Linked DNA regions of Astyanax mexicanus. The protein of the gene in region 2 purifies or fractionates together with the protein of the main gene of each other region. This does not show direct contact. Links are inferred from orthologs where the notes say so. Each region holds a gene or a part of one and is shown on either strand. Other genes may lie near its edges. The genes, in order: mtmr2 and mtmr10.

Region 1 (10,810 bases), on a different chromosome or scaffold from region 2:
GCGCTGTTCCAAAAAAACGAGTATATGTCAATCATGCTGTACTATTTTGACATCTAATTGTTTTTGCCATATTTAGTACAGTGGCTCTGACAAATTTCTCAATACAACTATGTTTAAAAAGTGCTTTGTTCATTCATAATTGCTAATTGTTTGAAAATAGCTATATTGAAACTACTCTCTGGATATTTGGCCTATCACCTCCATTTCAGTCTTGCTGCACACTGTAGAGTCTCTAGGTAAATGTTCATTAAAAACATTTGTGAAAATTTCACATACAATACTCTCCAGGCATCAAGCAATCTGTGCGTCCTTGGAATTTATAACCTAAATTGCTGTAACTCTGCAGTATTTGCTGTAATCTCACAATGTTAAAGACCTCTGTACAATATCACTCTGATGAAGCGCCATTTAATACAGAACTAGATTAAGAATAACTTGACATTACATGTCATATCAGAACATTCACTCCTTTGTGCCTCTTCTCAACATTAATAACAGGTGAAAGACTTTTGATCATTTCTAAATGTGACAGAATGTCTCCAATTGTGTTAGACCTTCTTACACATCACCATCCTATGCTCTAGTAGTCACCATTGTGCTAGTTGGTGCTTGATGAAGCGCCATTTAATTCAGAACTAGATTTATAATAACTTCGTAATTACATGTCATATCAGAACATTCACTCCTTTGTGTTAATTTAAACTTGTTTGGTCAAACATTTCAGCTTGTTCTGCAAAGGTTCAAAGGTCAATCTGAATACCACTTTGTGAACATTCTGGTTGAAGCCACCTGATCAATACCAATAACATGTAGACACCTTTTGACTAGTTCTAACTCACTTAATGAATATCCTACAAAGTTCACTAGATTTACATGTGAATTTAAGCACTGGTCAGGTTGAAAGGCCTCTGCTCAACATTAATAACAGGTGAAAAACTTGATAATTTCTAAATGTGACAGGGCATCTCCAATCATATTAGACCTTCTTACACATCACCATTCAATGCTCCAGTAGGCACCATTGTGCAAGTTGGTGCTTGAACCCGATGATTGCCGCTTGCGGCTATATTTTTATTTATTTTTTTACCCGATATAGAAAGACACTGTATGCATTTAAACTGTACCTGTCTCCTGTATTCAGCTAGAGGATCATACACCTTCCACCCGTTCTCAGGAAACACCTGATTATACTCAAATGCAAAGAGAGACTACAAAGAGAGAGAGAGAGAGAGAGAGAGAGAGAGAGAGAACGAGGGAGAGTGTTAGCCAGTGAGAAATTCATGTAAAATGTGCACACGCTAATACGCGCACATGCATACAAACACTCACCAGATTGTTGGAGACAGGGAAGGCGAATTTGGTTAGCACCTCGAAAACAGATTTCTTTAATGAATCATCCGGCTGCTTATGCACAAACCGCAAATTCCTCATATCCTATAGAACACACACAGTAAAAAAGCAAGACAATTCAAGGAGATTTAATAATAGGAATAAAATATCATCAAAACCATAAATAAACCCCTTTATTCTGAAGCTTTCTGATTTAATTCTTTAAAATATATAACAACTTTCATGAAACAACACAAAGTGATTATAGACTTTATATACTAATTATAAAACACACAATGAAGTTTCATTAAAGTTTATGTTCAGCATCCATGTTTGGTCTGTATGCGTGTGTGTGTTTGTGTGTACAACTTCCTATTTAGCCCATGAGCCAGTGCGCTTCAGCCGCCTCCAGGCTGACATCATACTATCTAATATAGACCTGTTACAACAATTATGTTATCAACTAATGTTTCATGAACACAACCTCAATATTGTTACTTATCAAGAAGAGAGCGCATTAATGTGAACAGTTAGATATGTCCATTTTGTCCATTAAAACAGTCCATTTAATGCTCTTTAAAATGAAGAAATTGCATTACACAGCTGTAATTTAGTCATTATCAGTGGCCCAAAGTGATTGTATTATGACAATAATATTGCTTATCGCAATTATATAATAATATAATTGACCAATTAAAATAGTTTCCCTGACAGGCTTATGTGCATTAATGGAGAAAAATGTTGTATAGCTCTTTTAAACTGTTGTTAATAATTTATCATCACCCACTTTGCAGAAGAGGTGGTAGGAGACATCTCCTCGACTGGACGCGCCGCCAATCTTATCCACTCTGCTGATCACTCCTAGTGGCAAATCCAGCACAACGCCAGGCTCCTACACACACACACACACACACACACACACACTTAAAGCTGCAGTAACACAGTAACATACTGCTACTTGATCGGTCATAAAGAACCTATAAAGTTTACATGGCTCTCATCATGGACATAAATGGCATCTGAAACCAACACAGGGTCAGAAATATACAAAGTGAACATCTTATATTAGTATATATATATATACACGTACATACATTTTAAGCAACAAAAGTCACAACAATGCAGTTTGTAATAGGACTGCACAGTATATCATTTTAGCATTGTTGGCCTAATGTGTGTAACAGTCACATTGGAGAATGTGCAATAGTTTTAAATGTGGTCCAATGCAAACTAGAAGTAGTGAAAGTGCTGATAGTATCTGCAGTTCATGATTATGTGTATTACCCTGTTAATTCCTCTGAAGAGCAGTCTGTAGTTGGTAACAGTAAGTGTTCCCCGCAGAGCTCCAAGAAATGGACAGATGTATGTCACATCTTTGCCTAGACACAAAAAAAAAAAAAACAGAACTGAGGTCAGTAGACCACATGCAGCAGACCTTAAAACAGGGTCATAAAAGGGTTACTTTAAAATCATACCCAAAATTACACTTTACTTTTACCTAAACAGTACTCTAATAAATTACATGTTTGCATATTTGTAATTGTAAAATCTTCTTAAAGTGCTAAAACAGCAGAAATTATTACAATCTTTAAAATATAAGTGTCAGATAGCATATCTTGTTGAAAGCTGTTACAGAACAGTTAGTGTCCTCCTCCAAGTGTGTTGAGCCTCAATGGTGCTTCTGGTGTTTCAGAGCAGCCTTAACCCAGAATACTTAAAATTATATCTGTTAAAGTAATGTTTATTAGTGCCTCACCCACGTCCTGCACCACCTCCTTTGGCAAGAGCTCAACATCATCCTTCCCTGAGTCTCTGAATGTCTGAGACAAAGACAGAGAGAAAGAGAGAAAGAGAGAGAGAGAGGGAGGGAGAGGGAGAAAGAGATTATAATTTCAAACAATATGAGCTTGTTTTGTGTATTAATGTGTAAACTAGGCAAACTAATACTACCTTTGCAGGCTTTCCCTTCACCTGTGAAATACAAACACACATTTTAGTTAAAAATAAAAATTCAGGACATAACAATATAACAATAACAATAATGAGCTTTAGAAAAGCTCTACTTATAAAATATACATATTATTATTCCTAATTTATTTATCCTATTTAAAATATAATGAAGAACTAATAGTTATGATTCTCACCCGTAGCTGGGGTGAAAGATCACTGTTGGAGTTTTGCTCTGAAGAGATTGATGGGCCTTTGGTCTGAAAGGACCGATCTGACCGAGATGTGGAGGAGCTGTGGAATAAATAACTTGGAATTACAAATGTAATACACAAACACATGTTCTGTGCCAACAAATTTGAGCAATCCAGCTTTAAAAGTCTTTCCTCTCTTTTTGTATGAACTGTCTGAATGCACATGAACACAGTCTGCATGTTAACACAGAGAACAGGGAGACGCAATCCAAATTACCTCAAATTGCAAATATATCAAGACCTATTTACCAAGACCAAGCAAAAAATTGTTATATTCACCTGGTTCTCCCTATTGGAAACTATTTTAATAAAAAACAGGTGAACCAAGAGTGATGCTAGGAGTGTGCCATATCATACTATACACAAAAATATCCCCCAATTTTTTAAATACCATTGGCCCAAATGGACTATCAGGGTACAACTGTTATTGTTGTTTGTAGCAAAGTGGAAAATTCACACTATTCTCCGTCAGTCCTGGATATATAAAGTATTAGCATCACTACATGTTGGATCATTGACTTCTGTTACAATCTCAATTAGGGCTTTTCCACTTCATATTGTATGCAATAATTTCACCAAATTAAATGTAATATTCACTGTGTTGCAGTAGTTTGTTCTTGAAATCAACTTTTCTTTAATTCAATGTTTTGTATACATAACGTCACATCGCTATCGCAAAAATACTGTGAAGTATCACAATATTATTTTAGGGCCAGCCCAAAGTGAAATGTACCTACGGTTTTCATTAATGAAAAGTCTTGTTATAAACATGACAGGGCATAAAAGTCATATTAAAACCTGTTTTATATATATATATATATATATATATATATATATATATATATATATATATATATATATATATATATATATTCTGTATTTAAGGGGGCTTTAGCTACTTTTACTGGAGTAATATTTCACCCTGGGTATCTAGTTACGTTTATTAAAGAAGCTAGATACAAAGTGTATGTGCCTTTTACACCACTGACAGATAACTTAGTTAGCTGTGGCAGATACTTAACGAGGTACAATGTAATTGATTTAATGACACGACAGTTAAATGGAGTGGCTACTTGTCAACACTAGCTAGCTTAGCTTAGTTAGCTAACCTATAAGTGTTGCTATAGGTACAATGATAGTTAGCTGAACATGTAAATAAACTGACATTATCAGTTAGCTAGCTCAGTTAGCTAACTAGTTAATTAGCTCCAGCGGAAACCTCCCGGTTAACCGGGGTCTAGTACTCATTAGTGTTTCTCCGTGTAGCAGAAATATTCTCCAGTAGTGGGTTTTAAACTGTTTCTGTGAACTCCGCTGTGTTTTTTCCAGGTAATCTGTGTTTTTCCCTCAGTATTAGCGGTTAGCCGCGTTAGCTCGCTGCTGGCTGTAAGGGGCGGAAGTACCTGCAGAGTGAGTCCAGGCTGGGCTGCCTGGAGCCCGGCGACTCCCCGTTAGAGCCCGGGTCCATCAAAAAGGAGAATCACCGAGTCCTGCAGGGAACCAGCGACTAATCCAGCGATCAAACCAGCATTTAGATCCGCCGACCTCCTCACAACCACAGCTACAGCAGATCAACACACACACAGGAAGCTGCCATCTTTACCCACAGTCCCCCTCTCTCCCTCTCACCTCACCTCAGCTCACCCCAGCTCAACTCAACACTCTCTCTCTCTCTCTCTTAAAATGTGAAACTCATAAATACATGTATTACACACAGAGTGATCTATTTTAAAATCCGCATTTCCACAAGTTGTCAGCAGAGAGTACTAAGGTATTCAACATTTTTGTACTTAAATATTGCAAGTAGTTTATTCTAAAATGTACAACTCAAGTACTGAAAGTAAAAGTAGTAGTGTTATGAATAATAACAGAGAGCAGTCAGACATTTAAATTTCATATTGTTTATAATATTTTCAATATTTAGGCTAAAGGGCATTTACAATATATTTAGCTGCAACACCAGCACAAGCACATAAATGTACAAGTTAGAGTACATGTACATCATGTCTTCAGTCAACTCTCTAAACATACTTACCCAAAAGTCATTAGGATATTTCAACCCATTTTGCACAAAAGGTCACTAGTCGGTCTATCACTATTGTAAAATCAACTTCAGCTGTCAAAGGACAGATGCGTGTTTTTTAATTTTAATGAGTAATGATGCAGCACTCAAAAATGTATCAGTGTATTATTATACTCATTGAAAATATGCATTGACAAAAGTAGAGGCAGGAGAAAAAAATAATACTCCAGTAATTAAAGATTTAGTTCCTCAAGTATAATTTGTTAACAGTATTGTGCAAATGTTTTAGGCACCTGTGGGAATTTCAGTAAAGAAAAAGCTTCTTTCTGTGAAGTTAGTGTTTATCAGCTCAGTAAAAACACTAACATTACAATAAATACAAACAGCAATTTTACCAAAAGCAATGCTTTTACAGCACTGTTTACCTTAAAACATCTTCTAATCTCTCCTCATCTGAGAATCTGTTCATTCACAGTGAGTTCAGTTGGGTGTACTACAGCAGAAAAACCATTACAATGTGCATGGCAGTGGGTCTCCCGGACTCAAGATCAGCTAGGCATCCAGAAAAAAAACAACACACCCAATGTTGGCAGGCTAGCTCGTTAACTAGCTTTTGACCAGCAATTTGTGCAATAATTGTGTACTATTTTAAAATATTTATAAAAAAAGACTTGGACATTTACTACAACTTGTACTACTGCAGTTACTACTGTTGGTGAGCAGTGCAGCCATCTTGGATTCTGAACTCAGGGTTAGTAACCCTCTTTGAGTTTTCCAGGTAGAAAATATTTTAAATTTCCTACTTGGAACGTCCAACATCCAAGTTCAAAATGGAATGCAGCACGTTTGCTCCTCCCTAAACTGAAAAGATGAAAAATAAAATAATAATGTAAACCAGTTAATGGTTTACTAAAAAATAACATGCGGCTTGTTGTCATTGCTTGTTTTTGTTCTCTCTGAAAGATGTCCATTTTTTATGATTTCTCTCTCTTTTTACGCGTGCCCTGCTTTATGTCTAAAACATGCAGTCCCACTGTATAACTGGTGTGTGTGTGTGGATGTGCGTCAGAGTGTTAGTCTCTGTGCTGTGGTGGGTGTGTATCAGCGGACTGATCTGAATGGTAAAAAGAACAGTACAAGCAGCCATTGTATGCTAATGGTAGCATGGGAGCGGCTACAGCGTGACTGCTCTTCATTAGCAATGCAAAGTCGCTGAGCTGTATCATAACAGCCCTCTCTCAAACTCACACACATCAACCCTTTCTGCACTGCTGTTAACTCCAGCTGCTCCGCTTCTTTCTCAGCACGGACCCCACCAAACCACAGGTAAACCCCCAATCTTATCTACAACTACCAAACAACCAACACACCATTCTAAACTACCAATACAACACTCTCAACTACAACTACCCACCACTCTCACTTGCAAACACCCACCACTTTGACCTCCACCTCCAACTGCCAATCACTCCTACCCAAACTACCCATTACTGTCACCTTCAACTACCCACCAGTCTCACCTCCATCTACTGACCACCCTTACCTCCAACTACCCACCACTCTTACCCCAACCTCAAACTGCCCCTCACCCTTACCCCAACTACCCACCACTCTCAACTGCAACTACCCACCACTTTGACCTCCAGTCTCCAACTGCCAATCACTCTTACCCCAACTACCCATTACTCTCACCTTTAACTACCCACCACTCTCACCTCCAACTACCCACCCCTTTGACTACCATCTACTCACCACTCTCATCTACATCTATCCACCACTCTCAACTGCAACTACCTACCACTTTGACCTCCATCTACTCTCACTTTCAACTACCCACCACTTTCACCTCCAACCTCCAACTGCTAATCACTCTTACCCCAACTACCCATAACCTCCATCTACTCACCACTCTCACCTTTAACTACCCTTCACTCTAACCTCCATCTACCCACCACTCTCACATCCAATTACCCACCACTCTCACCTCCAACCACCCACCACTCTCACCACAAACTACCCATCACTCTCACCTCCCACTACCCAACACTTTCATCTTAAAACTTCCACATTAAACCCTTTAACTACCCACCAATCTCACCTTCATCTAATCAAAACTCTCTGCTCCAACTACCAACCACTCTTACCCATTGCTACCCACCACTTTTAGATTCAACCTCCAACTCCCCACCACTATCACATTCAACCTCCCAACTCCCCACCACACTCATTCCAACTACCCACAACTTTCACCTCAAACCTCCAACTACCAACCACCTTTTCTCAAGCTACCCACCCAACTCACCCCAACAACCTACCAGTCTCACCTATAACTACCAACCACTCTTACCACAACTACCAATTATCATCTCCAACTACCAAGCACTTTCATTTAAGTACATCCACCCTTACTTCCAAATACCAATCACTCAAGACCTGCATTCTAACTAGCCTCCATTCTTACCTCCAACCTCCAACTACCCACAAGTCTCCTCAAACTACCTACTAAAACTTTCACCTTCAACCTTTAAAATACTGAGCAAATAAAAAATTGGTGGAATGAATATGAAACAAATACACATGTAAAATTTGAATGGTAATCCTTGGTAATCCTTGGTAATCCAGGCTGTAAGAAGCAACCAGGATAGTTTGGATGCAAATGCAAGGCAGGTTTATTTATGCAAAAACACCAGCCAAAATCGCTGTCAAAAACAGGTAGAGATAAAAAAATAAAATAAAATAGAACACAAGGCAAAATTCATAGTCAAAGAGCAGGCAAAGATCAACAACCAAGAATAACAAACAAAGTATATAATGCTTGATAAGAGTGGCAATATCTTACAACTGGAGACAGTAAGAGAACCAGTATCAATAGTCCAAGTAATCAGTTGAAGTCTTACAGGTGTATGGAAGAGGTGGAGTCAGCTTATTAGTACTCCGGAGAGGCTGATCTAAAAGGTGCAGTGTGTGCAGGTGTTACACAGGCTCTTCATGCTGTAAACTACACTTTATATCTGGTAACTACCTCCTCAGGCCACATGATTTGTTCACTTTTAGCTTATCCAGAAAATCACGTGTAAAGTGTTTCCTTTATGGGGCAGTGCAATGCTGCTTTACTGTTAAAGACAGAAGCCACATCAGGGCCTGTTATGAAGCCAAGCATTTTTAGGCATTGGAGGAGGCCAGACTCATTTACATTTGGATCAAGGATTGGTGCAGCTTGATGTGAAGTCAAGGTGCAAACAGAGAAAGAAAGCTACTGCAGCTAACCCATTTGTTTGGCTGAGGAAGTTTTCTATACATGTTGGTGAATCTGTGAGCAGCATGACTTTTTTGCCAGGAACACAGTCCACTAGTTGCAACAACTTAATCATTTTCATTTTTTTCTAAAACGTTTTGGCAAAACCCCACTGTAAAAAGTTTCTTGATCTGACTGTATTCTATTCTATTACATTTCAACTGTTGAATTATAGCAAAAGAATCGCACATGTTGAATGTGAAGTAAATGAGGTACAGGATGTACCCCCCTCCCCAAACACACTGTTGGATTGTCCAGACACTCGTTGACCCTCGCGTCACATTGTGCAAAGGGGGCGGAGAACTGACTAAGTGATAAGGGGTCACATGGGTGTGTGTTCTTAAACAGTGGCAGCAACAGCCAGACTGGCTGACACACACACACATACACAAACACACAGAATTGCACAGGAAAAGTATCTGAGACTGGAGGGACTGTGATGCTTCTGGACGCTCAGTGGGGTTCTGCCCATGCCTCTAACGCCACCGCCGGAGCCTGGTAACTGACACACACAATTTAGCATTTGTATTCACAGTTGTGTGCAAAAGTTGTGCACTCCTCTTCGAATTATATGGGTTCTTGGTGTTCTGAGTGTAAATACGTGAATAAATATGTAATAAACTTAATTATGACAATTTTTGTACACAAAATTTCTACTTCTTTACTCAATTTAACAGAGAAAACATAACATTTTATGTGCCATAAACTTTTTTAAATCTACAACTATGTCTTAATCTGTAAAAGTAGAGTTTGTGACTTATTTAACACCTTAAAAAAAACTGGTGAGGATGTGACTTAAAAAACACCTATAATTAGTGTTTCACTTGGATTGCAAAAACGTTTGCACACAGGTGTATTAAGGCAAGTCAGTCAAAAGTTGTTTATTGCATTCCCATCTTAGTCTAAACACAAGCTAATGCAATAGCCACAAGCTAATGACTAACTATCTATTAATATAATAACACACAGCCACTACTTACAGGGTTAATAAGGTGTGAAATTTAAAATAAGCACTAAGAACTTTGAAAGTGCAGAGGTAGCTTAATAAAACACTGTTTATAAACAAAGTATCTTAAGGTAGCTCTCTGGGCGCCAACATCTTGAAATTAAGTCACGATAAGTAGACTGATGAGCATAAACGAATAGGTGGTATAGGGAAACAGATTGAAAAACAAATTCAGTGGAAATGCATGAATTCCAGCTGTTTCTGAAACTCTTGTTATTTTATTTAATATTCATGCATTTCCACTAAATTAATTTGTCACATCCTTGCCTTGTTTCCCATCTGTGCTCCTGTATCTGTTGTTTACCTGTCATTCTCCCTCCTATTCCTGTGTGTGTGTTCCCCATGTGACTGTACTCCTCTATGTCTAGTGCCTTCACCTGTGTCTTATTTGTTACTCCGCCCCCTCTTACCTGTTTCCCCAGGTGTCTCCTATTTCCGTTTCCCTTCTTGTGTATTTATACCCCAGCATTTTCATGTTCCTTCGTTGGTCTTTGTTGTTTATTATTCAGCGTTTTTTTGTGTATTCTCCTTCTCCTTTGTTCTCTTTTTTAATTCCCTAGTTTGGTTTCTTGCATGAATTGACCTTAACAAGCCTCAAGCCACTGATACAAAAATTACACAGCTGATGCACCTGCCTAAATATACTTGCATTGAGACTGAGTTCATAGGACTACCTACTGTCACAGGCTTAATATTCAATAGTGGCTAGGCTTAATATTTACTATAACTTTAGTAGCATGAAATACACTTGTTTACAATGTCACCTGCAGTACATTTATATAAATGGAATTTATTTGGAGTTCTTATGCACGCATAGCACTTTTACATGATTCATTGCAGTTTTAAAGCTGCTGCCATCTACAGGAGTTCCGTAGATACTGCCTTTACATTAAAATGAGAAGAGTGGAAAGTGTGTAAAATGTTCCAAAAGTCCAATTCACTGATTCCTTGTAGTA
Region 2 (11,045 bases):
AAGCGTTTTTTCCCTATAAGGAAAATTAATGGGCTTTTCAAAAACACGCCTCTATCACATTCTGTGGTAAATAAATCTGTTCAGAACTCTGTACGTTTTATTCTGTGTACATTTTACTCCTGAACATCACTGGATCCTCTGAATTACGAGATCGTTTAAGAGTCATAATGAGAAAAATGCTGCGGAGTGTACTGACCTCCAGGCACCGCTGCAGAGATTAGCAGGAGACTGTTTTCGGCGCAACACCAGAGAACTCCAGCCGTAAGTTAGGAGCATTTTACACACAGCTGAGCCTAATAATGAACTAACTGCGCTTACTGAGGAGAGCTGAGAGTGATACAGCATAAAATCACTAAAACAGGTCAGTGATACTCCAGAACCAGCTGTAACACGTTTTAACATCTACCCTCTTTATTATGCAGTGAAATAAATGGGTGTTTCTGGTTCGTTATCGCCTCAGTGAGGGCAGATAGTTAGTTGATTAGTTGATTAGTAATTAGTATAAACTAATGACCGTAATTAAATACTAAACCCTTCGGGGAAGCGCTGCTGAACTGAGAGACATTTTCTCTTATTATTTGCCTTTTAAAGCTCTAACACAGACTACACTGCTCAACACCACACTGCTCAACATCACACTGCTCAACACCACACTGCTCAACATCACACTGCTCAACATCACACTGCTCAACACCACACTGCTCAACACCACACTGCTCAACACCACACTGCTCAACATCACACTGCTCAACACCACACTGCTCAACACCACACTGCTCAACATCACACTGCTCAACACCACACTGCTCAACACCACACTGCTCAACATCACACTGCTCAACATTACACTGCTCAACATCACACTGCTCAACATCACACTGCTCAACACCACACTGTTCAACACCACACTGCTCAACATCACACTGCTCAACACCACACTGTTCAACACCACACTGCTCAACATCACACTGCTCAACATCACACTGCTCAACACCACACTGCTCAACATCACACTGCTCAACATCACACTGCTCAACATTACACTGCTCAACACCACACTGCTCAACACCACACTGCTCAACACCACACTGCTCAACATCACACTGCTCAACATCACTGAAAGAGTTTTCACCTGTTTAAATGCTTTAATGATCCTCTGTGAAGAAGCTTAATAATCCATAACGCTTTCTGATGGGAGTTCACTGGTGTTGTGCAGAATCCAGTCCGGGGTCATTTCCAGCCGCTGTGCTGTGACGTCAGTAGCAATAGCTTAAAGTTAGTATTTTTCTGATTACTTCCCTTAAACGATCTCGAAATTCAGCGGATCCAGTGATATTTAGGAGGTAAATGTACACAGAATAAAACGTACAGGGTTCTGAACAGATTTATTTACCACAGAATGTGACAGAGGCCAGTTTTTGAAAAGCCGCCGTTTACATGAACGGCTTAGACACGGAAACCCAAATATGGGCATAAACAACATGGCGTCGACTACAAAATGATGACACGACTTCAGTGATCTATTTGCATAAAGGTATAACTGCTTAGATGGAGTCTGTGTTGGGTGAAGGGGACGAGACGCCAAAGGGTCCTCACTCCCTCGCCTTGTACTTCATTTCTCTCTGTCTCTCTCTCTCTCTCTGGGTTGTGAATGTGTGTTGATGTAATTTTACTCTTTTCTAATATATCTACTCATTTATGTTTCTTTTATATATATGTAATGTTATTTTGTTTTCCAGTAAACTTTAATATATTTTAAATTCTAAACTAATCTTTTAATGTTCTGGGATTGTAACAATCATTCAGTGGGAGTTCTCACTTCTAAGTTTTATCATGCTGTGGTAAATTTCGCTAAAACAGCTAATCGTTTAGGCCCCTAGACAGATTTTGCAGTATATTTTTAAAAGTTGACGTTCCTTTATTAACCTTAACATTAAAGTATAGTGGTATGAAAAGTATAGTGATATGGTTTTTATAACACACAAACAGTCATCCTGCATCAGTAAAAAGATTATTTCCTTTATTCATTCCTTTATTCAAAAAGCTCCACAAAGGACTGCACTTGCTCTCCCCACACGGGAGGCCTCTTCACCCAACACTACAGCAAAATCTGCCACTACAGCAAAATCTGCACACTGTATTATCTAACTGTAACACTAGAGCATTAATAACCAGCATTTTATAAATTTAGAAAACTAATTAAAATCACAGCAGCCCTGTAACAGGTTTAGGGTGAAAAATGCTCCTTTTGCTGGAAGCTTCTTGTCTTAGTGTGCATAAAAAATCGCTCGCTCAAATTAAAGAAAATGTGAGCACAAATTAAAGAAATCGTGAGCACAACTGCAAATCGTTCACTTAAATTGAAGAAATCGTGAGTACAAACTGCTATATCGTTCACTCGATTTATTTATTTTTTTGTATCCATGGCCCCTCCCAGGATCGTACTTGAGAACAATGTTTAATAATCAGTGAGAAAGTTGAAGTTGCTCTGGGACTGAATACTTTAACAAGACAATGACCCTAAATGCTGCTCAAAATCACTCCTATAGCATTAATGCAGAGGAACAGGTACCACAGTCTGGAATGATCATCTCAGTCCCCAGAACTGATTTTTTTTCAACATCACAATTCACTTATTTATATATACAATATTACAAACTAACCCAGCTGAACATTTAACATATAAAATAAATAAGATCCTAACAGCGATGTTTTAGCATGTGGTTTAAAGTCTAACAAGGTAACTAAAGATTCAAAAAGTTTTATTGCCATACAATTAAATCATTATTTTACTAGTCCTCCACTAACACACAAGCTACTAAAACATAAATCTATACAGCAAATAAACTACAGACTACAGACAAAATGAAACCAGACACATACTTAAAACTAAAGATTTTTATTTTAATGCCTGAAATCTAGGAGTGTCTGTATAACAATGAGTCCTCCTCACAAAAAATCACAGCAAAGAACCTTCTTCATTCATTCAGCATTAATACCGTTCACGATATCAGAGGACACAGCCCAAAGCTGTCAATCACCACATGTCCACACTCCTTTATATTTCATAAAATAATATAAAAGCTAGTGGGGCTTTAACTAAATTATCTGATCCTAAATGTAATTTTAGTTTAATATGAAAACGTAGGGCAGACTGCCACGTGCAGCGCCAATAATGGATATATTTTGTAATCCAAATGAAGGAAGAGCCAAAGATTATATATATAGGGCGGTAAAGTCTGAAGATTGTCGTTCATGGTAGGTGAAAAAAAAACTGTCAGAAAATACAATAAACACGTGGTTTAACGAGGACTGAGTTTTTTGTGTAACAGATGGTGATATTAATGTTAAAAAGGTGGAAATACGGCAGATTTTGTCTTTTTCCCAGTACTATCAGCGATTATGCAAATTAAGTGTGAATATAGAATCCTAACCATTGGAACTCGGCACGCAGTTAAACAAAAACACGCAGCAAAATGTACTTCTACGTTGTATTCCTAGACTGGGACTGAATGTGTATTTCTGTATTTTATTGTAAATAAAACACCCCCTCACACAGTCACTCCTCTAGAGTTCAGACTTTTAACTGCAGTAAAGGACAGGAGAGGTGATACTAAAACACGCTGCTTTATAACTAATCTATCCTACACAATTAAACACACTCCACTGCTAAACACAGTGACCAGAGCTGGTTTATGGAGAGAAGATCTGAATATTATAGAATTATAGAAATCTGTGGTGTGATTTAAAGCGAGCTGTTCATGATCAGAAACCATCAAACCTTACAGAACTGAAGAAAATGATACAAAATACCTTCAACCAGAAGACAGACTCTCATAGGAAGGAATAGGAAACGTTTAGAGGCTGTTATTTCTGCAAAAGGAATATCTACTAAATATTTATGTAATTTTTCTGTTGGGGCCCAAATTTATACACCTGCCTAATTTAGTTTAAATAATTATTGCACAATTTCTGTAAATCCTATAAACTTATTTTCACTTATTTAACTGTAATTGCTGATCCGAACAACCAATGATTTATAAAATAAAATCATAAAAAATTGAATTTCAACCACAGTGATTTGCAGATCTATAGTAACATGCTCTATATTAGCTCTACAGGAAGAATTAATTTCATCATTTAACAGTAGTAATGCTGTGAAAATTACAAAAAAAAAAAAAATACTATTTAAAATAATTTTAGAAAACCCAAAGAAAGAAAGGCTTTTAGATACTTTCTCTATAAATGTATTGTGGCGGCTCTGGGTTGTGTGTGTGGCTGCCTGTAGGCATGTTTCTATTCTTCTGTGTTTGGGGCCTCTTGTGTTTTGTTGTGCTGTGTCGCTCCAGCCTACGTAATTGGTACCTCCCCTGTAACCTAGGGTATGGGGAGGGGCCATGCAGATGGATGCTGGTTAGGGCACTCACCGTAGAGTAGGTGGATAGTGAGTTTAGTCACTTGGCTCTGTTGGTAGCCTATAGATAGAATGGTTTTAGCTCTCCTAGTCTTGTTAAAGATTGTAAGTGAGTGGCAAGCCTGTTCATTAAAGTAGCTATTGAGCATTCAGCATGAGTCTCACGGGTCTTCCTTCCTCTTCCACGCCACAGTAAGTTTAAACTTTATGGAAAATGATTATTGAACTATATTTTTTGTTTAAGAAGCACAAATAAATGAACATGAATCATGCTATTTAAATATTATGTTCATATACATAGGCCACACCCCCGTCCATATCTCGGTCACGCCCTCTCCAAACTCTCCGTTCTGGAGTGATTTGGACGTTCGATTCATTTTGTCAAGTTGACTCTTTTGAACTCAACGTTTCAGTGAATCGGGTGTCCGATTAAACGATTCAGTGATTCACAACAAAGCATCACTCTCTGATTCTTTATGATGCTGTTCTCGTGCAGTATTTTCTTAATTTAAAAAATAAAGTAAATGTGAATATGATTGTAGAAAATATACACCATACACGTATTTTTCATCATACTTAATCATACAAAACACAACTAGTAGTGAAATGATTTCATAAAGTTTATGTTAGTGTGAATATGCTTCATATTCATATATAAATAATGTTATTTCCGATTACATTAAAACTACCTGCCGAATATTGTGGAGGTCTCGCTGTGTTACTAAAACAGGTCTAGCCCTCCAGATCCTGAGCATCAGATCTTTTAAGTCCTGTAAAGGATTGGTAATTAAAGCTTTGGCTTTAGCGCCACCTAGTGGTTTGTTTTATACTAGGTTGAACAGAAAACACCTGTCTGCCTGCTTACTGCATTAAAATGTTTCTCTGCAGCTACATATTAATGCCTATACCCTTCTGTTTCTAAGAATTCGAATGAGTATAACACTGTTTATGTAAAGCATACATTTGTATGTATATTTTATATATAATCCCTTTGATGTGCAACATGGGTCAAAATGACCTGGCTAAGTATTAATTTTAGATATCTTTGCCAATCTTTGCCTCAATAACTTGTTTTTGATCATCATACATTCTTATTTAATATTATTTAAGTAAGAAATGTAAAAATAAAATAAGGATGCACGATGATCAAAAAAAGAAGTTAATTGAAAAATACCTTACATTTTGAATGACTGAATTAATGTATTGCTAAAATATATCATATAAACACTCAGTTGAGCATGAATTTACATGGAGAAGAAATGTCTTCTCTTTGGATTTAGTTTAGTGGATTAGTTTGGAGATAGATTTTAGATTTTACATTTACATAAACATGAAATAATAAAAATAAAACCAGTTTTTCTTTACTTAATTTAGTAGTTTTTGTCATAATCTGGATTAGAACATTACTCAAATAGAGCTACTCACTGTATACCTGTAACTCTACCTCTTCAAAACTTTACAACTGATGCTCTCAAACACATTAAGTGGCAACAAATTCAAGTAATTAACTCTTGACAAGTTCAGCACAGCTGTTAACTGAAATCCACTCCAGAAGTTTCTACTTTATGAAGCTGTGCAAAGCTGTCATCTAAGAATATATAAAATATATTATGGTTTATTTAACATATTTTTGTTTCCTAAATAATTCCAGATGTTTCTTCTCATAGTTTGGATGATTTTAGTATTATTCTACAATGCAGAACATTTCAAAATAATGAAAAAACACTAAATTGAAGGTGCATCCATTACAATGGACAACATGTGTTTTCTTTATTTTTAAATTATTTGTTGCACATAACACTATTTGAGAGTTGTTGTCCATCAGAATAGACCAATGTGCCAATGAACAATTTTATAAACCAATGAAACTGAAACTTGGCCCCGCCCACTGCACTGGAAAAACATTTGGAAAAACAAATTTGCCATTAAGGCAAAGTTACAGCTAATTTAATGTGATTTAGATCACTTTTTAATCATGTTTTTTGTTACTGTTTAGGGATGGTTTATGGAATGAAAAGGTCGATATAGAATATAAAATATTACACACAGTTTTTCAATGCAATAGAAATAAAAAACTTCAATATTTTAGTTAATTTTATTTATTTATTTTTATTTATTAATTTATTTGCTATATAGATTTTATAGTGGAATATTACAGTATTTTTTTCTGTGATTTACAGACAGAAAACAGCTTTCTCACATTTTCTTTCCATCACTGGAGATAATTCAGGTCTGAAAGGGTTAAGTTGTGTCCAAACAGAAACACTTGACTCAGTTGCTGGATCTGCGAGTCTCCTGAATCGGTTCAACCGGTTCACTTGAAAAGATTCGATTCATCTGCGAGTCGTTCACAGTCCGCTACTTGTGTAAACATGGCCGCGGAGTCTCCTGCAGGAACCGAGCGCCCTCAGTAAAACCCAGCGCAGCTCAGTCCGCGGGGGAGCAGCGGGGAAACTGCAGCCGGGACCGGGCTTCGGGGGGTCCGGACACATTTTACCGCAGTGAGGAAAAGGAGGAAGACCCGCGGCGGAGCGCAGGGTTTAGAAAAACTACAGAACCGCTGGAGGAAAAGTTCAGCCCCGCGCCGAGTTTGACAGGCAACTTACCGGAGAGCTAATGCTAACAGCGCTAGCGGGGTAAAGAGAGAGAGGGAGGGATAGTTATCTGAGTGAGTTTAACTATGTTTCTCTCTCTCTCTGGAGTTTAAGAGTTTCAGAATGAATGAAGACTGGGTCTGGGGTTAATCCTGCAGCAGCAGAGACTGGAGCCGGACTGCTGCTTCTCTCTAAACTGAACTACATAAACTAGTTAATCTGAAGTTGGAGCTGCTGAAGATCAGCTGCAGCTCTGGAGTCTGGATTTAACTGAGAGTTTGTGAGGTTGTGGGTGTCAGTCTGCTCCCAGACCAGCTTTAAACATGTTTTCTCCTAAAACTCCTCCAAAACCAACCTTTAAATCCTACCTTCCTCCACTTCAGGTCAGTAAATCTCTTTAATCTGCTATATTTATGTGTCTTGGCTTTGTTGAACATGCTGGTGGTGGATAGATGTTTACTAACCTACAGTAGTTTATTTCATTTGTACAGTAAATATGGTTTGAAGACACAAGATTACTAACTTTTAACAGTAAAAAACTGTAGTGATGATAAATGTAATACTGTTTTCTACTAAAACATCAGCAAAACCAATAAATACTACCTTTTAAATCCTACCTTCCTCCACTTCAGGTCAGTAAATCTCTTTATTCTGTAATATTAATGTGTTTTAGCTTTGTTGAACATGCTGGTTGTGGAAAGAGGTTTTGCCACAGTAGTTTATTTCATTTATACAGTAAACATGGTTTGAAGACACAAGAATACTCACTTTTAACAGTAAAAACCTGTAGTGATGAGACATTTAATACTGTTTTCTACTAAAACATCAGCAAAACTAATAAATACTACCTTTTAAATCCTACCTTCCTCCACTTCAGGTCAGTAAATCTTTTTAATCCGCTATATTTATGTGTTTTGGCTTTGTAGAACATGCTGGTGGTGGATAGATGTTTACTAACCTACAGTAGTTTATTTCATTTGTATAGTAAATATGAGTCGAAGACACAAGATTACTTACTTTTAACAGTAGAAAAACTGCAATTACACACAGAGATTGGACACGAGAGATAAATATATCAGTTCAGTAATACAATTTTCTACTAAAACACCTCCAAAAACAACATTTAAATCAGTTAGTTATGGGTTTTGGCTTTGTAGAACATGCTGGTGGTGGATAGATGTTTTGCCACAGTAGTTTATTTTATTTATATAGTAAATATTAGAGGTGTGCCAAAAAATCGATTCACATAAGAATCTTGATTCTCATTTACTACGATTCAGAATCGATTTAAAATGTCCCAAAATCGATTCTGAGGGGCGGGTTTTAGACTGATTTTGGGCTGGGTATTTTTGTTGGACCTGGCAACCCTGGGGATAGGGCTTGTCCCTTCAAACGGAGATCTTCCAGACACACACAGAGCGTAGGTGTTTGAGAATCACCGGTAAGATGGCAGAACAAGCACTATATTACCTTAGATTAACGTGTAGTTTCAATGTTTTATGGCAGAATGCTTCATAACAAGCATAAAAAAGATCGCTAGTAGTTAGTTTCAGTAACTGTTAGCTAGCTAACTAGCTAACTTTCCAGTTCCACCTTAAATAACGCTACAGGTGGCAGCGGGCTGCAGCATTTAAGGCGGAACGGAAAAATAACAATAAGCTAATCAGAGCTAATTTCAGCTCCTCATCACAGAGGAATTAAGGAATGGACAATATGAATTAATTTCTCCACCTCCTGCCCCCTTTCTGAAGAAATACAACCACCTTAAATTAACTAGTTAATCAGCAGCTGCTCCTGAACTTTAGCGCTCCACTGCTATCATCACATCAGCCCAGCAGCGTCACCTACACACCACCGCTAGTAGCCTGGTAATAAAGCAGTGTTATTTATTATTTATTTATTGTTCATTAACGTCATTGTGATATCCCAGTGATTTCTCTGTCACTGAGGACCCACATTCCTGCACATTTTATTGTTTTTGTAACACATTACTTGCTCCAGGACCAGTGTATATTATGGAGGGTTTTTTTTTCAATAAGATTCATAAGCCAGAAGCAGAAATTTTTATAATTCAAATCGTTTTGAATCAAAAATCGATTTTGAATCGAATCGTGGCCCCCAAAATCGGAATCGAATCGAATCGTGAGATAGTAAACGATTCCCACCCCTAGTAAATATGGTTTGAAGACACAAGATTACTTACTTTTAACAGTAAAAAAAAAAAACTATAGTGATGAGAAATTTAATACTGTTTTCTACTAAAACATCAGCCAAACCAATAAATACCACCTTTTAAATCCTACCTTCCTCCACTTCAGGTCAGTAAATCTCTTTAATCTGTAATAGTTATGGGTTTTGGCTTTGTAGAACATGCTGGTGGATGATACATATTTTACTACAGTAGTTTATTCAATTCATACAGTAAATATGGTTTAAAGACACATTATTTCTCACTTTTAACAGTAGAAAACATTGAGAATTTCACATACACTGCTAAAACAACTGCAGTAACAACAACCAGTAATAACAGAAAACCTTTCTAATCTGTTACATTTATGAGTTTTGCGCTTGGAGAACATGCTGGTCTCTCATATTGGTATATATTGGTAGTGTATTAAACAAGGAGAAGGTAATGTTATCACTTAATTTATTACAGTAAATATGGTCTTCAGACAACAAGATTACTCCCTTTTATCAGTAGAAGACTTGAAGATAGATTATTGTAGTAAATATAGTCGTATAGGCCACAAGATTACTCAGTTTGATTGATGCTGGAATACTACATATTAAGCTGGTTGACAGATTTAGCTTTAGAGCATCAGCATCAGCATATAATATATATATTTTTGAGTTTGATGGTTTAACTGGTCTACAAAAAATAACCTAACCAAGCTAAGCAACCAGTATGGCCAAGCTTTACCATGCTGGTTGACCACCATGACCAAAATGACCAAGACTATTGACAAACATGACCAAACAGGTCTATCAGCATGACCAGAATCCAATGCAAAATGCACCATTCTGTTCAAGCGCTGGTAATGAGTCAGCTTATCAGTAAAGGACATGTTTTTATCTGAATGACCAGTTTTCAACCCTCTTGGCCAGTTTAGACTGTCCGAAACCAGCAACCAGCAAAACTGGTCTTGAGCATTTTGCAGTATATTGTATTACTGGGTACTATATACTAGATTTAGGTTATAAGTGAGATAAACACCAGTTAAACAATACTGTTTTCCACCCAAACTCCTCCATAACCAACATTTTATTTCAAGATCTTTATAATCTGTATATATATATATATATATATATATATATATATATATATATATATATATATATATATATCTGTTATATAACCCATATACTGTATATGGGTTTTGGCTTTGAGGAACATGCTGGTATTTTCAGATTGGTATGTAGGTATTGATAGTGCATCTGACAGTATATATATATATGAAAATGTATTATATTCAAAAAATTATTGTATTTATGAATATTTACTATATTAAATACAGTCTTTAGGCTTTTATTGCATTGTATTATCAGTAGGAATCCGATTGTTATTGAAATCCTGGAATTTTCGTGTGATAAAAGGAATGGTAGAAAATAGAAAACATACACAGTTTGATCTCTACAGGCTAATCAGAATCAGAATAATAAGTTATTTTTTTCACGATCATGCTAAATATACTAGTAGAGTGTGAATAGGTTAAACACCAGTTCAGTGTAATGTTTGAGATGTAGGACAATCTTAAAAAAATATAATTAAATGTAAATTGTATGTAAAGTATCGTGAGTGTAAAGCGCTTTCAGTAGATCTAATATTGGCAAGCTTGTATCTCCGATTTACATAACAACTCTTCTACATGTCATTTAAATAACAACTGACACATTATGTCAAAAAGTGAAAAATGGAGATAAAAGGTTTTGGCCCAACACGGCTGATGCATTTATGTGCGTCATGTATATTTCCTTCTTTAATTCTGCACTGGAACTGTGAAGCTAATATAATAGAAGTTGGTCACCCAATTCACTAC

The links.
Region 1: the proteins of mtmr10 (region 2) and mtmr2 purify together in Homo sapiens (affinity purification with mass spectrometry; 5 studies listed by BioGRID and IntAct, with this or other methods). This does not show direct contact. The link is inferred for Astyanax mexicanus from reciprocal best matches to the Homo sapiens genes MTMR10 and MTMR2.

The regions. Positions count from the first base shown.
Region 1 is NC_064408.1:38,190,598-38,201,407, forward strand, and holds the start of mtmr2 (myotubularin-related protein 2), read right to left. Parts: upstream 5,159-10,810; 5' UTR 4,999-5,158; coding exon 4,934-4,998; intron 3,571-4,933; coding exon 3,474-3,570; intron 3,301-3,473; coding exon 3,280-3,300; intron 3,150-3,279; coding exon 3,086-3,149; intron 2,709-3,085; coding exon 2,614-2,708; intron 2,222-2,613; coding exon 2,117-2,221; intron 1,435-2,116; coding exon 1,330-1,434; intron 1,209-1,329; coding exon 1,125-1,208; intron 1-1,124. Other genes in the region: gjb1a (connexin 27.5), read left to right, coding at 9,319-9,346. UniProt on the Homo sapiens protein: Lipid phosphatase that specifically dephosphorylates the D-3 position of phosphatidylinositol 3-phosphate and phosphatidylinositol 3,5-bisphosphate, generating phosphatidylinositol and phosphatidylinositol 5-phosphate.
Region 2 is NC_064430.1:30,635,888-30,646,932, reverse strand, and holds the start of mtmr10 (myotubularin-related protein 10), read left to right. Parts: upstream 1-6,768; 5' UTR 6,769-7,331; coding exon 7,332-7,391; intron 7,392-7,599; exon of another isoform or gene 7,600-7,640; intron 7,641-7,864; exon of another isoform or gene 7,865-7,885; intron 7,886-9,305; exon of another isoform or gene 9,306-9,326; intron 9,327-11,045.